3 linked regions of the Arabidopsis thaliana genome follow. The protein of the gene in region 1 interacts with the protein of each later gene in a pairwise test. Each region holds a gene or a part of one and is shown on either strand. Other genes may lie near its edges. The genes, in order: GL3, TRY and CPC.

Region 1 (3,759 bases):
ATGATCTTTGAATCAAATCATAAACAAGAAGCAAATCAAAAGCCCATTATTTACATAGTTTGACTTCCATTGACTTAGATGAACTATCTTACCTTTTTCTGAACCTTGAGAATTGAGATACATATAAGATGATGATAATATGCCTTATGAGGTGGAAAGTGGAACCACTTATGTTTCATTGTTAAACCAATATAGTATATCCAAATTAAAATATTATTTTCTCAGCTATATCCATATGTCATTTAGTATATGGGAAAACATACAGTTTTTTAACATAGAAGAGAGGATACAAACCAGTTAATAGCAAAATAGTGTCATGCTTCCATTGTCCTATACATAGCATTGAATCTCTCACATCTTCTCGTACATGCCCAAAAGTTTATGATTTTAATGGCCGTGTTTACAACATTATTTCTTCTGTGCCGTCTATGTCAAGAAAATAACAACATAGTATATACCCTATATATATATATATATTACTTCTTTTTTTAATTAGTTCCGTTTATATATATGAAAGAGGTCTTACAGAGGAGCCTTAATGCTCAGATACAATCAAATAAGATAAACATATAGAGACGAGTGTTCTAGTAAGATCAGTAAAGATGTGGTCTAATTTTGTTGGAAATTAGCAAACCATAGCGAAAGATAGGAGTCAGGAGATGGAGTTGTTGAAGTGAAGATGACGTCTTGATCCAAACCAGCAAGGCTTCATCGGATTAGGAGTTGAATTCCCCATTTAACTTGAGTTAGTATTCTGATTGAAAATAACAATATATATTAGTGTTACATAAGTTTGGATCAGACAAATTTTATATTGTTGTATCGAAAGCTATACCAAATTTCCTAAATATTACCCTCAAACATCAACACATCCGATTAATTTACCGAAACCTCCGATCAACAGCACTACGAATGTTTAGACTTTGATCTTGTAGGGGACCGAACGTGTATATATATTTTAATGTTTTCTGACGTCAACGTCTCTCTCTTTTCTAGATGTCAGAAAAGGAAAATAATAAGTACTAATGGTCCATTTAGCAGGGTTTTATTTAAAGTTATATTTTAAATAGTTGCATAAATACTTCGAAAATATAGGTTTAATAGTATAAGAGAATTTTGAAATATAATAATATTGTAAGTATATGACTATAGGGAGAATCAACGTCGAAAATGTCCATAACATTTTTATTCATTTTAAAGATGTGATTGCAAAAATTAAGATTGTGTCTGTACGTATTGGGGGAACTCCTCGAGGCCAAACATTAATTTCGTGTCTTTCTTTGTGTTTCCCAATTTTAGTAAAGACTGTTCTTATATTATCTCTTTCCTCCTCAATTTATCTATTATTGTGTTTGTGACTATAATTTAGATTCATAGCGATTAGCTTCGTTTTGACACCAAGTAAAAAGCTGATGATTTTACTATTATTATATATGTTAATCATATACTCTGATTTGAGACATTATACTTTTGGTCGTTTTGTGTACTTTTGGAAAATTCATAAAACGATGTTACTCACCGACAATAATATATTTCGATCACTCAAATAGTAATAAGACTGATTAGATTATACAAAATGAAAGAAATCATACGATGCTGGTTAGATTGGACTTGGATCACATGCTAATGGTATTCTAGTCAACATTGCTTCAAAGATCTAATAGTCAAGGAAACAAATTTTTTTTTTTTGGTATCAGTGGGGATATTAAGTGAGGGAAACATTTTTTTTCAAGAATAGATGGGTGAAAAGTTCAGCCTTGACGTGATAACATTTTAACTTTAAAATCAGTGTTGGAAGAGACACACAATGATTCAATATTCCCAAAAAAAAGAGATCTCTAGAACCACAAAGAGACTGAATAGAGAATTTATTGAAGACAAGACCACAACAATGGACATTGTAGTTCATTGTCTTAAAAAAAGGTTGTTCTTCCCAAATGAGGAACTAATCAATCAACTTCAAGATAAAAAGAGGAACAATCAATCAACATCAGCGTTTTGCTTTTTTCCTCTACTTTTGTATCCTTTTTTTTTCTCATAAATCATTAAAAAATTATAAGTACTTTTTATTTTCGTCATAAATGTCTTGTGTTTTGTTCTGTACACAACAAAGATGATATCGTCATATTCAAAGAAAAAAAGGATTCGTAGACAGTTCTTCTAGTCTTTCGAGTTCAAGCTCAAACAACAACAAAATTAATATTCAAAACAACATTAATAAAAAAAAAGTATGGAGTGACCAAAGAAAAAAAAAACTCTCAAACATTTCTCTGTTTGTTCCGGCGAAAACGGCAACTGTTTCATCAAATGACAAACACAAAAACCTTAACATCTAGTTTGTATCCTCTCTGATACTTCAAAAAAAATGTAAAGAGTTACAAGTTTCCCTTTTTCTTTCTTTTTTAGGCTATAAATTTAACATAGTATCTTATTTCTTTCTAAATCAGGACAAAAAGTTTGATTTTTTTCTTTTCTTTTCTTTTTCCCTGTGTGTGGTTTCATGGGATATAGGGATGAAGAAACAATGGCTACCGGACAAAACAGAACAACTGTGCCAGAGAATCTGAAGAAACACCTCGCAGTTTCAGTTCGAAACATTCAATGGAGTTATGGTATCTTTTGGTCTGTCTCTGCTTCTCAGTCTGGGTAAGTTTCTTAAATCATATTCATTGAACACTAGATATTGGAGATTTTGAAAGATATTGATGAAGTAAATTTCTTGATTTTAATTGGAAAATTAGATAAAACTTATGTGTTCACTTCAAATCAAAACTAGTGTTTAGTTCTACAACTCAAGACAAGGTTCTCTAGGTTTTTCTTGATTCCATTGATTTTTTCTTATAAACTCATATAAGGTTTCTTGATCTTCTTTAAAAGTTCAATTTTTTTTCTCTTCTTCTTGAAGTTCTTGATTAGTTCAAGAAAATGTTTTGTTTGTTTTCTTTATTCGATTTGATATTTGTTTTTGTTTTTCTATATATAAAAAGAGTTTTAGAATGGGGAGATGGATACTATAATGGAGATATCAAAACGAGGAAGACGATTCAAGCTTCGGAGATCAAAGCTGATCAGCTTGGTCTACGGAGGAGCGAGCAGCTTAGCGAGCTTTACGAGTCTCTCTCCGTCGCTGAATCTTCTTCTTCAGGCGTTGCTGCCGGATCTCAAGTCACCAGACGAGCTTCCGCCGCCGCACTTTCACCGGAAGATCTCGCCGACACCGAGTGGTACTATTTGGTTTGTATGTCTTTCGTCTTCAACATTGGTGAAGGGTAATTCCGTCTTTTCCTCTATCAGCATTGACATTTATTATGTGTCATGATCGTGTTGATCTTTGCCAGTTTTAAACAACGTGCCAAAATATACTTTTAATACTAGTAGGTCCAAGGATTTCGACTTTTATGGTTCAGTTTAGGTTTGTTAGATTTCAGGGTTCTGCAGGAAAAAAGTATGAGCTAGAACCAATTTTTTAGTTTCAGTTTGGTTTCAAAATTTAATGTCCGGATTTGGTCGGTTTCAGATTACAAAAGAAAAAGTTAAAACATAATTAATTTTAAATAATAATGTGTATATATATGCATTAGTATGTTTAACTCTATTCTACATCTAATAAATTTTATTAATTCGGTTTGGTTGCAGTATATTTGTGTTCGATTCGAGTTTAGTTCGGTTTATTTATCATCACAAAAGTTTGTTTCTGTCCGGATTAATTAAAAAATTCGTTTCATTTTGGTCTTTATGAACACGGCTAATTAACTTTCA
Region 2 (3,759 bases), 5.1 Mb from region 1:
AATCACATCTTTGTCCTTTTGTACCAGAATTTTAGACATTAGTTTAGCTATGCAAACCAATTTCGTTCTTTTAGCTCCAAACTAAAGACACATTTTCATTGATGCATTCTTCGATATCGAATTGATTTGTTTATCAAAAGTTTATGAAAATCATTTATATTGCTATATTGTATTTAAGCTTCGAGTAAAGAGATATTTTACCAACTAGGCTTCCTATTAAAAAAATTCCAAATCTATCACATAATACACAGTTTCTATGCAATGAGGATGATGCGATATACATCACATGACTCGCCTCACACGATGTCTTTCGCCGTAGACTACAGATTTCTTCCGTTTAATCTTTTATCCAATTATGAATTATCTGGTAGGGTACTTTATATTTTGAAAATCTCTTTCGTGAGAATATGATAGTAATTGTATACTTTCTTACAAAATTTATTGAGAAGCGTACTTTATATATGATGTTTCTCACTCGAATTAAATACGTTAGTTTAATGGGTCGATTCAGATTTATAATAGATTTAAATATTTCGAAGAAAACGCAAATCAGGGATTTTGGTTGTATCATGTGTGAGAGATTGAATTTCTCCAGAAGCACTCATTAAATCGCGTGTGTAAGGAGTTGCCATACAGCGTCGTATGTAATGTCTTAGTCACTGTTCTAGAATTAAAACATATGTCAAATGTAGAATTAAAAAACAGGGGTTAAAATGTTAAATTATTCGGAGAAGTGGAATTATTATATTAAAAACATTGTGTGATTTTGGGATAAAATCTGAATCATGTTTTTTATTGTGCCAAAAAATTTCTGTTTCAACCTCTTCGTGGAGATGAAAGAAAAGTCAATCGGGAATGAGACTTCTTGTATAACGAATGAAAATATGAACATGTTGATTAATGAATTAATTAACATACGTACTATATTAAGTGGGAATATTAGGTATAGGCCTTCGATTTTCCGTTTTGTTTGGTTTTTTCGATTTTAATAATATTTCTCTAAATTAAAATAAATTTTAGTTTGGTTTATTTAAAATATTAATAAAATAATATAAATAACTATCTAATTAATATATTAAAAAGTATTTTCTATATATATTGATATAAATATTATTCCCATGTTTTATATTGGGTGACGTTATCTTTTAAGTAAAGTTGTAAGATATCTAACTTATTCCTACATTATAATAACTATCAAAATAAAATAACTAATTGTAGTGACAATGATGACTATCAAAATATGTATGTGTTTTGGCTCAAACATAGCGTTTAATAACAAACACAATGGACAATTTTAATAAATTTGATCGATTAGATTTTGTTTCATTTTCATGCACTAGATTAAGGTTCGAATTAGATTCATTTTAGTGTATATAGTGAAACTAATTTGTTACTATATGGAAAAAAAAATAAGTTTATTTTTGGTTCAAGAATTTTTATTCGGTACGGTTTGGTGTGTATGTCCAACCCTGAAAAAAAAACTTGAAAAACTAATAACCTAATAACAACTAATTTTCTTAGAAATACAAATTGGACTTGAATACAAAAATGGAAAGAACAACAACAAATCAATAACTAAAACATCGTTGAACTTGCATCTGCCAAATAAAAATCAATAAATCCCATTATTCTAAAAAGATAGTAGGTTTAGAAAAATTGAATAAATGGAAAAAAAAAATTGTTAGGATCTACGAATGAGAACAAAGTTAGCCTTCAAAATACTTACAAATCCCAATAAAAGACTTCATCTCCATGTGTATTTGAGTGTCAACGACAAGTCTACACAAAGGGTAAGAGGTCAACAAGACCACACAACACTTCTTACTATTAGTTTTGCAAAGGCCGTTCGTTGGACATTTCCTTCTCTCTCCTCCCCTCTTCTTCTTCTTGTTCGCTCTATAAACTCTCATCTCTCACGTCTTTTTTTCCTTACATTCTCCAAACTCAAAATTTCATCACATTAATTTCTCTCTATTTTTCTTTTCTTACTTCAATAGTAATGGATAACACTGACCGTCGTCGCCGTCGTAAGCAACACAAAATCGCCCTCCATGACTCTGAAGGTACCTCTCTATTCTCTATATATTTTCTATTTCCTAAATCCAATTTTATTAAACATCTTGAAAATAAATTTAGTTCCTAGCTAGGATCATATTCTCTTTGTATATATTCGTTAAAACGAGGGATACGTTTAATTACTTCTAAATTAGTTACACCTCGTGCTGACTAAAAGACTTATCAAGATTAGTTTCTAGTTTTAACAAAAATTAATATCTTTTTAAAAAGTTTATATTTGTCTTTTTTTGTTAGTTTAATATTGTTTTGAGTTTAATTGGTTTAATATTGTTATTTGCAGAAGTGAGCAGTATCGAATGGGAGTTTATCAACATGACTGAACAAGAAGAAGATCTCATCTTTCGAATGTACAGACTTGTCGGTGATAGGTAACAATTTCTTCTTCTTCTACTTTTTCTAAGATTATCCCAGCATAAAATAAATTTTATATTTTAGACATGTCTAGCTAAAACAATTTAATATGCAGGTATATACAATTTTACATACGTTAATTTAAGCATATGTACTTTATAACATATGTACAGTGTACCATGTTGTAGGGGAAGCACATGGTGTCCACTAATTTTCTAAAAAAAGACATTTAATTAAAGCTATCACGTTCATTAAATTATATATGTACACACATATATATAGAGATAAAAATAAGAACCTAATTTACTATTCTTATCAGTACGTACTCATGTATATAAATGCTTGGCTGGCTCAAAAATGGAAATTTTTGAACTGACAAATTATATTTTATTATGAAAATATAAATGCTAATGCTTGGGATAAAAATGTTTTTTTTTTTCTTTTGAATTAGGTGGGATTTGATAGCAGGAAGAGTTCCTGGAAGACAACCAGAGGAGATAGAGAGATATTGGATAATGAGAAACAGTGAAGGCTTTGCTGATAAACGACGCCAGCTTCACTCATCTTCCCACAAACATACCAAGCCTCACCGTCCTCGCTTTTCTATCTATCCTTCCTAGTGTTTTTGTTTTTAAGCCAACGAAAAAAGAAAATAAAAAAATTATAATAGATGTATAGTAGTGGTTCTTGTTAGTTTGAAGAATTCATCATCTATTGTTTTCTTTTTGTTGTTATTTCATTTATAATTTTTATAGTATAGGTTTCATTTGGTAATCAACTTTAATCCATGCGGTTAGGTTTTTTTATTTTCTCGTCTACGACTTTTATATCCACAACTAGATTTTAATCCGCGGTATATCGCGGTATAATTTACTTTTTAAAGTTAATATATATTAAAACTTGCAAATTTTATTTTTATAAAATATTTTTATTTTACAGTTTATAATTGTTATTAAGTAACGCTATACAACGAATCCATGAGACAATTGTTAAAAAACTGAAGTTTTAACCCTTACTAAAACAGCATATTAATAATATTTTAAAAATTTATAAATATTGATTCAAATACATCCACCATATAACTCAATTCCAAAATAAAATCTGTTCTGTAATTTCTTTACCCATCCCGTGATTTATTTTTAAAGTAGTAATTTTAAAAATTTGAGAATTATTTATTACATATAAAAGTTTTACAAATTGTATCATTCTCTAATACATTTATATTTTATAGTTTAATTTTATATATAGTAACATTTTATATTTTATATTCTCTAATATATTTTATATTCTCTAATACATCAGTAATTAGAAAGTAAAAAAAATTGTGTATTA
Region 3 (3,759 bases), on another chromosome or scaffold:
ATGTTGTTACAAAGCTGAGTAATACACTATGGACACTGAAGCCGGCTCACGAGCTAAGTACTCGACCACGTGAACCCATTTTAAAAACTGTGACTTCTTTAATAGAAACGCATGAATTCAATGAAACAGACATTTTCATTCACCAATTATATTTCGTTAGTTCCATTAATCTGTGGACCCACCAATGAGAAAAAAACGCTAATTGAAAACAATTAAAAACTCCATAAAATAAGCTCGAAGTTAATATCCATTGACTACACGACACGTGTGATAATTACCGGAGAAATTAACGTCGGGGAAACTGGCCGCCGCGTGGCATACAGATGCTGACAAATTCAGACGGGAACGGTGGTAGACACGTGGCAATAAAAGACAGGAGGAGCGTGGAGGGTGCTTGACCATTTATCGCCTTGGAATTTGAGACTTTTAAGGGGCAAAAACGGTAGCTCACAAGTCAACACTTTTGATAATCTTTTTGCCGTTTCGTATAATTCAATTCAAAAGTTAATGTTGATAACCACGTAAACACTTCTTAAACCGACCAAATAATATAATTAAAGATTTGATTGATTGATAAGCTTTTGTGTTTTCTTTTTCTGTTGTTGTGCGTGTCAACGTGTTGTACTCTCCGTAAACATTCATGGGCCTTTTCAAGTAACTGCTCAAGCTGGCCGATAGCAATTTAAAATAATCAATAAGCCCATATTGTTTTTGAATAGGCCCATGGCTTATTAGGGCAACATATAACGCTTTAACCACTTCGTCATGAAAAAACCCATACAACAACATGCAGCAACTAACATTCAACATAACTGTTTTCATTAGCATATAATGTACGAAAACATGCAACTTATCTCTATAAACTGTTAGATCATGTACTTAAAAATGCATAGATTAAACGTTTTCAATTTATCATAACATGTACCACACAAAAAAAGTAGCTAGAGCAGCTATTCATCTTATAGAATATATAGACGTATCTCACCTTCGCACTGCAGATCTTATACAAATCTTTTTAAGAAAATGAAAAAAGGGGGGCTAATCTCATATATTCTTCGAAGTCTTTTTGGGTTATTAAATAGCTTTAACCACCACATGTCATAAATAATTGTTGTTAGATACTTGTCTGATTCATGCCTTTTTTTTTGCGAGTCAAAGCTTTGTATACAACAAATGTGCTTCTTTGCTCTTTCGTCTCACTCCATTTAGTCAAAAATTCCATTTGTGATATAAAAATGAATAGATGAAACCTTGAAATATGTAATGAAACCGGTCTCGAGATGTGGTTAAAGCATATTTGTAATCAAAAATATATAATTAATGAAGAAAAACAAGTACGTTTTCGGACCACATCGGACCAGTAGAGGCACACAACCATACGGGTGTTGTGCCCACTTTTGACGACATTACCATCAGACCAAAGGAATATATGAAAGATACATAGAGAGAGATATGTTCTCGAACTAACTATTTCTTTTTTTACCCTCTTCTGATTATAATATTATTTTCCCGTTTTGCTGTTCTCTTCTACCAAACTTTCCTCTTATATCAAACTTTCAAATCGAATTCCTGAACTTTATATCACAGTCCTTATTTGTTTTCTCTTGCAACAAATGAATTTTTTTGTTATTGTTGAATAGTTATATTTTTAAATAAGTAGCTTTGACAGAATGTATATTTAATGTAGAATAGCAAATAAACTAGAAACAAGAACACATATAAGGGACATACTGGTCATTTCGAAAGTCAAAGCCAGAGGAGAAGCTACTATTTCTCCAACTGTCTGTAAACGAGGAATTTTTACAACCGCAAGTCAAAGGATTTAAAATAAGTAGTTATGGTTGTATCTGTCGTTCTTCTTTCTCTATGAACTAAAGGCCGTTGGAAGCAACACACACACACACACAGTGAAACACTACAGTTTACAGATTCGTTTTCTTTAGCTCAATCGAATTATATTATTTCTTAATCAGTCAATATTTAAATAATGGAGGATGATGATAAGTATTAAATAAATAATTATTCTAGGATTAATCAGACATGCGCAGTTATATAATAATCAGTTTGATTTTCTTTTCCTTTTCGAGCCCCTCTCTCTCTCACTCTTTTCTTTTCCGAGAACCCAACAAAAAAAAAGCTACTATTAATCCTTCCCCTCGTGAGGAAATCATTTCTTCTTGTTTCTCGAGATTTATTCTCTTTCTCTCTCTCTTTCTCTGTGTGTTTCGTGTCTTCAGATTAGTTCGATGTTTCGTTCAGACAAGGCGGAAAAAATGGATAAACGACGACGGAGACAGAGCAAAGCCAAGGCTTCTTGTTCCGAAGGTCTGATTTCTCTTTGTTTCTCTCTATATCTTTTTGATCGGTTTGAGTCTGATTTTGTATGTTTGTTTCGCAGAGGTGAGTAGTATCGAATGGGAAGCTGTGAAGATGTCAGAAGAAGAAGAAGATCTCATTTCTCGGATGTATAAACTCGTTGGCGACAGGTTAGAGACTCTTTCTCTCTCGATCCATCTTGTTGCTTTCTCTTTTTTTTGGTCTTTCATGTTTTGTCGAATCTGCTTAGATTTTGATCTCAAAGTCGGTCGTTTATTTATGCATTTTCTTGGTTTTTCTATTATATTATTGGGTCTAACTTACCGAGCTGTCAATGACTGTGTTCAGCCTGATTTTTGATCTTGTTATTATTCTCTGTTTTTTGTTTTAGTTGTTCAAATAGCAAAACCTAATCAAGATTTCGTTTTCAGTTTCTTTTTTTATATATGATTCTTTAGCAAAACATATTCTTAATTTATGTCAGAACTCACTTTGGCTAGTTTGGTTCAATTTTGATTACAGCATGTTTGTATGAAGTCAAAGTGTAAATTACGATTTTGGTTCGGTTCCATAGAATTTTAACCGAATTACAAACTTTATGCGGTTTTTATCGGAATAAAAGGTATTTGGTTAAGTGTAAGTTCCTCAACACTGACTGTTAGCCTATCCTACGTGGCGCGTAGGTGGGAGTTGATCGCCGGAAGGATCCCGGGACGGACGCCGGAGGAGATAGAGAGATATTGGCTTATGAAACACGGCGTCGTTTTTGCCAACAGACGAAGAGACTTTTTTAGGAAATGATTTTTTTTGTTTGGATTAAAAGAAAATTTTCCTCTCCTTAATTCACAAGACAAGAAAAAAAGGAAATGTACCTGTCCTTGAATTACTATTTTGGAATGTATAATTATCTATATATATAAGAAGAAAAAATTGCTTAGGAATTTCAAATTTTTACCAGCCTCCATCGACACATGATATATCCCTCTATAGAAGTATAGTATTAGTAGCTGTGATTTAATGAGATAAATCACACTTTTCTAAAGTCTGTTTTCCTAAGATCGACTGTAAATTTTAAATTTAACTATGTTCGCTATTTTATCCAAAAAAAAATTACTGTTGTTCTTTCATACAAACAAACAAAGGTGAAAGGTCTCTCTTATTTCTTCTGCATAGGGGAATGCTTAAACTGAACCCAAGATGGTTTATTTTTTCGTGATCGGAAATGAGAATCTGTAAGTGGCCTACGATATGGGTCAACGAGGTAGCTCATTTATATGGGCCATAAAGAAAGCCCATTATTAAGTTGAGACTTTTAAGATAAAATGTTTCCACGGTCAACGATTTTACAACAGTAGAGACACATGCATGCCGTTTAGATATTTGGTTTAAAACAATCATACCGTTTCACTGTATGTGTGGCCTAATGCAAGTGTATGCAACTGT

What was found.
Region 2: the proteins of GL3 (region 1) and TRY interact in a two-hybrid assay, tested with the Arabidopsis thaliana proteins (3 studies listed by BioGRID).
Region 3: the proteins of GL3 (region 1) and CPC interact in a two-hybrid assay, tested with the Arabidopsis thaliana proteins (4 studies listed by BioGRID, with this or other methods).

What each region holds. Positions count from the first base shown.
Region 1 is NC_003076.8:16,526,933-16,530,691, forward strand, and holds the start of GL3 (basic helix-loop-helix (bHLH) DNA-binding superfamily protein), read left to right. Parts: upstream 1-2,157; 5' UTR 2,158-2,365; coding exon of another isoform or gene 2,366-2,367; 5' UTR 2,368-2,500; coding exon 2,501-2,646; intron 2,647-2,987; coding exon 2,988-3,269; intron 3,270-3,759. UniProt on the Arabidopsis thaliana protein: Transcription activator, when associated with MYB75/PAP1, MYB90/PAP2 or TT2. Involved in epidermal cell fate specification.
Region 2 is NC_003076.8:21,580,914-21,584,672, forward strand, and holds TRY (Homeodomain-like superfamily protein), read left to right. Parts: upstream 1-1,700; 5' UTR 1,701-1,999; coding exon 2,000-2,063; intron 2,064-2,356; coding exon 2,357-2,444; intron 2,445-2,878; coding exon 2,879-3,047; 3' UTR 3,048-3,330; downstream 3,331-3,759. UniProt on the Arabidopsis thaliana protein: Transcription factor. Involved in epidermal cell fate specification. Negative regulator of trichome development, including endoreplication, by lateral inhibition involving intercellular interactions.
Region 3 is NC_003071.7:19,048,673-19,052,431, reverse strand, and holds CPC (Homeodomain-like superfamily protein), read left to right. Parts: upstream 1-2,062; 5' UTR 2,063-2,246; coding exon 2,247-2,325; intron 2,326-2,398; coding exon 2,399-2,486; intron 2,487-2,999; coding exon 3,000-3,117; 3' UTR 3,118-3,411; downstream 3,412-3,759. UniProt on the Arabidopsis thaliana protein: Transcription factor. Determines the fate of epidermal cell differentiation. Represses trichome development by lateral inhibition.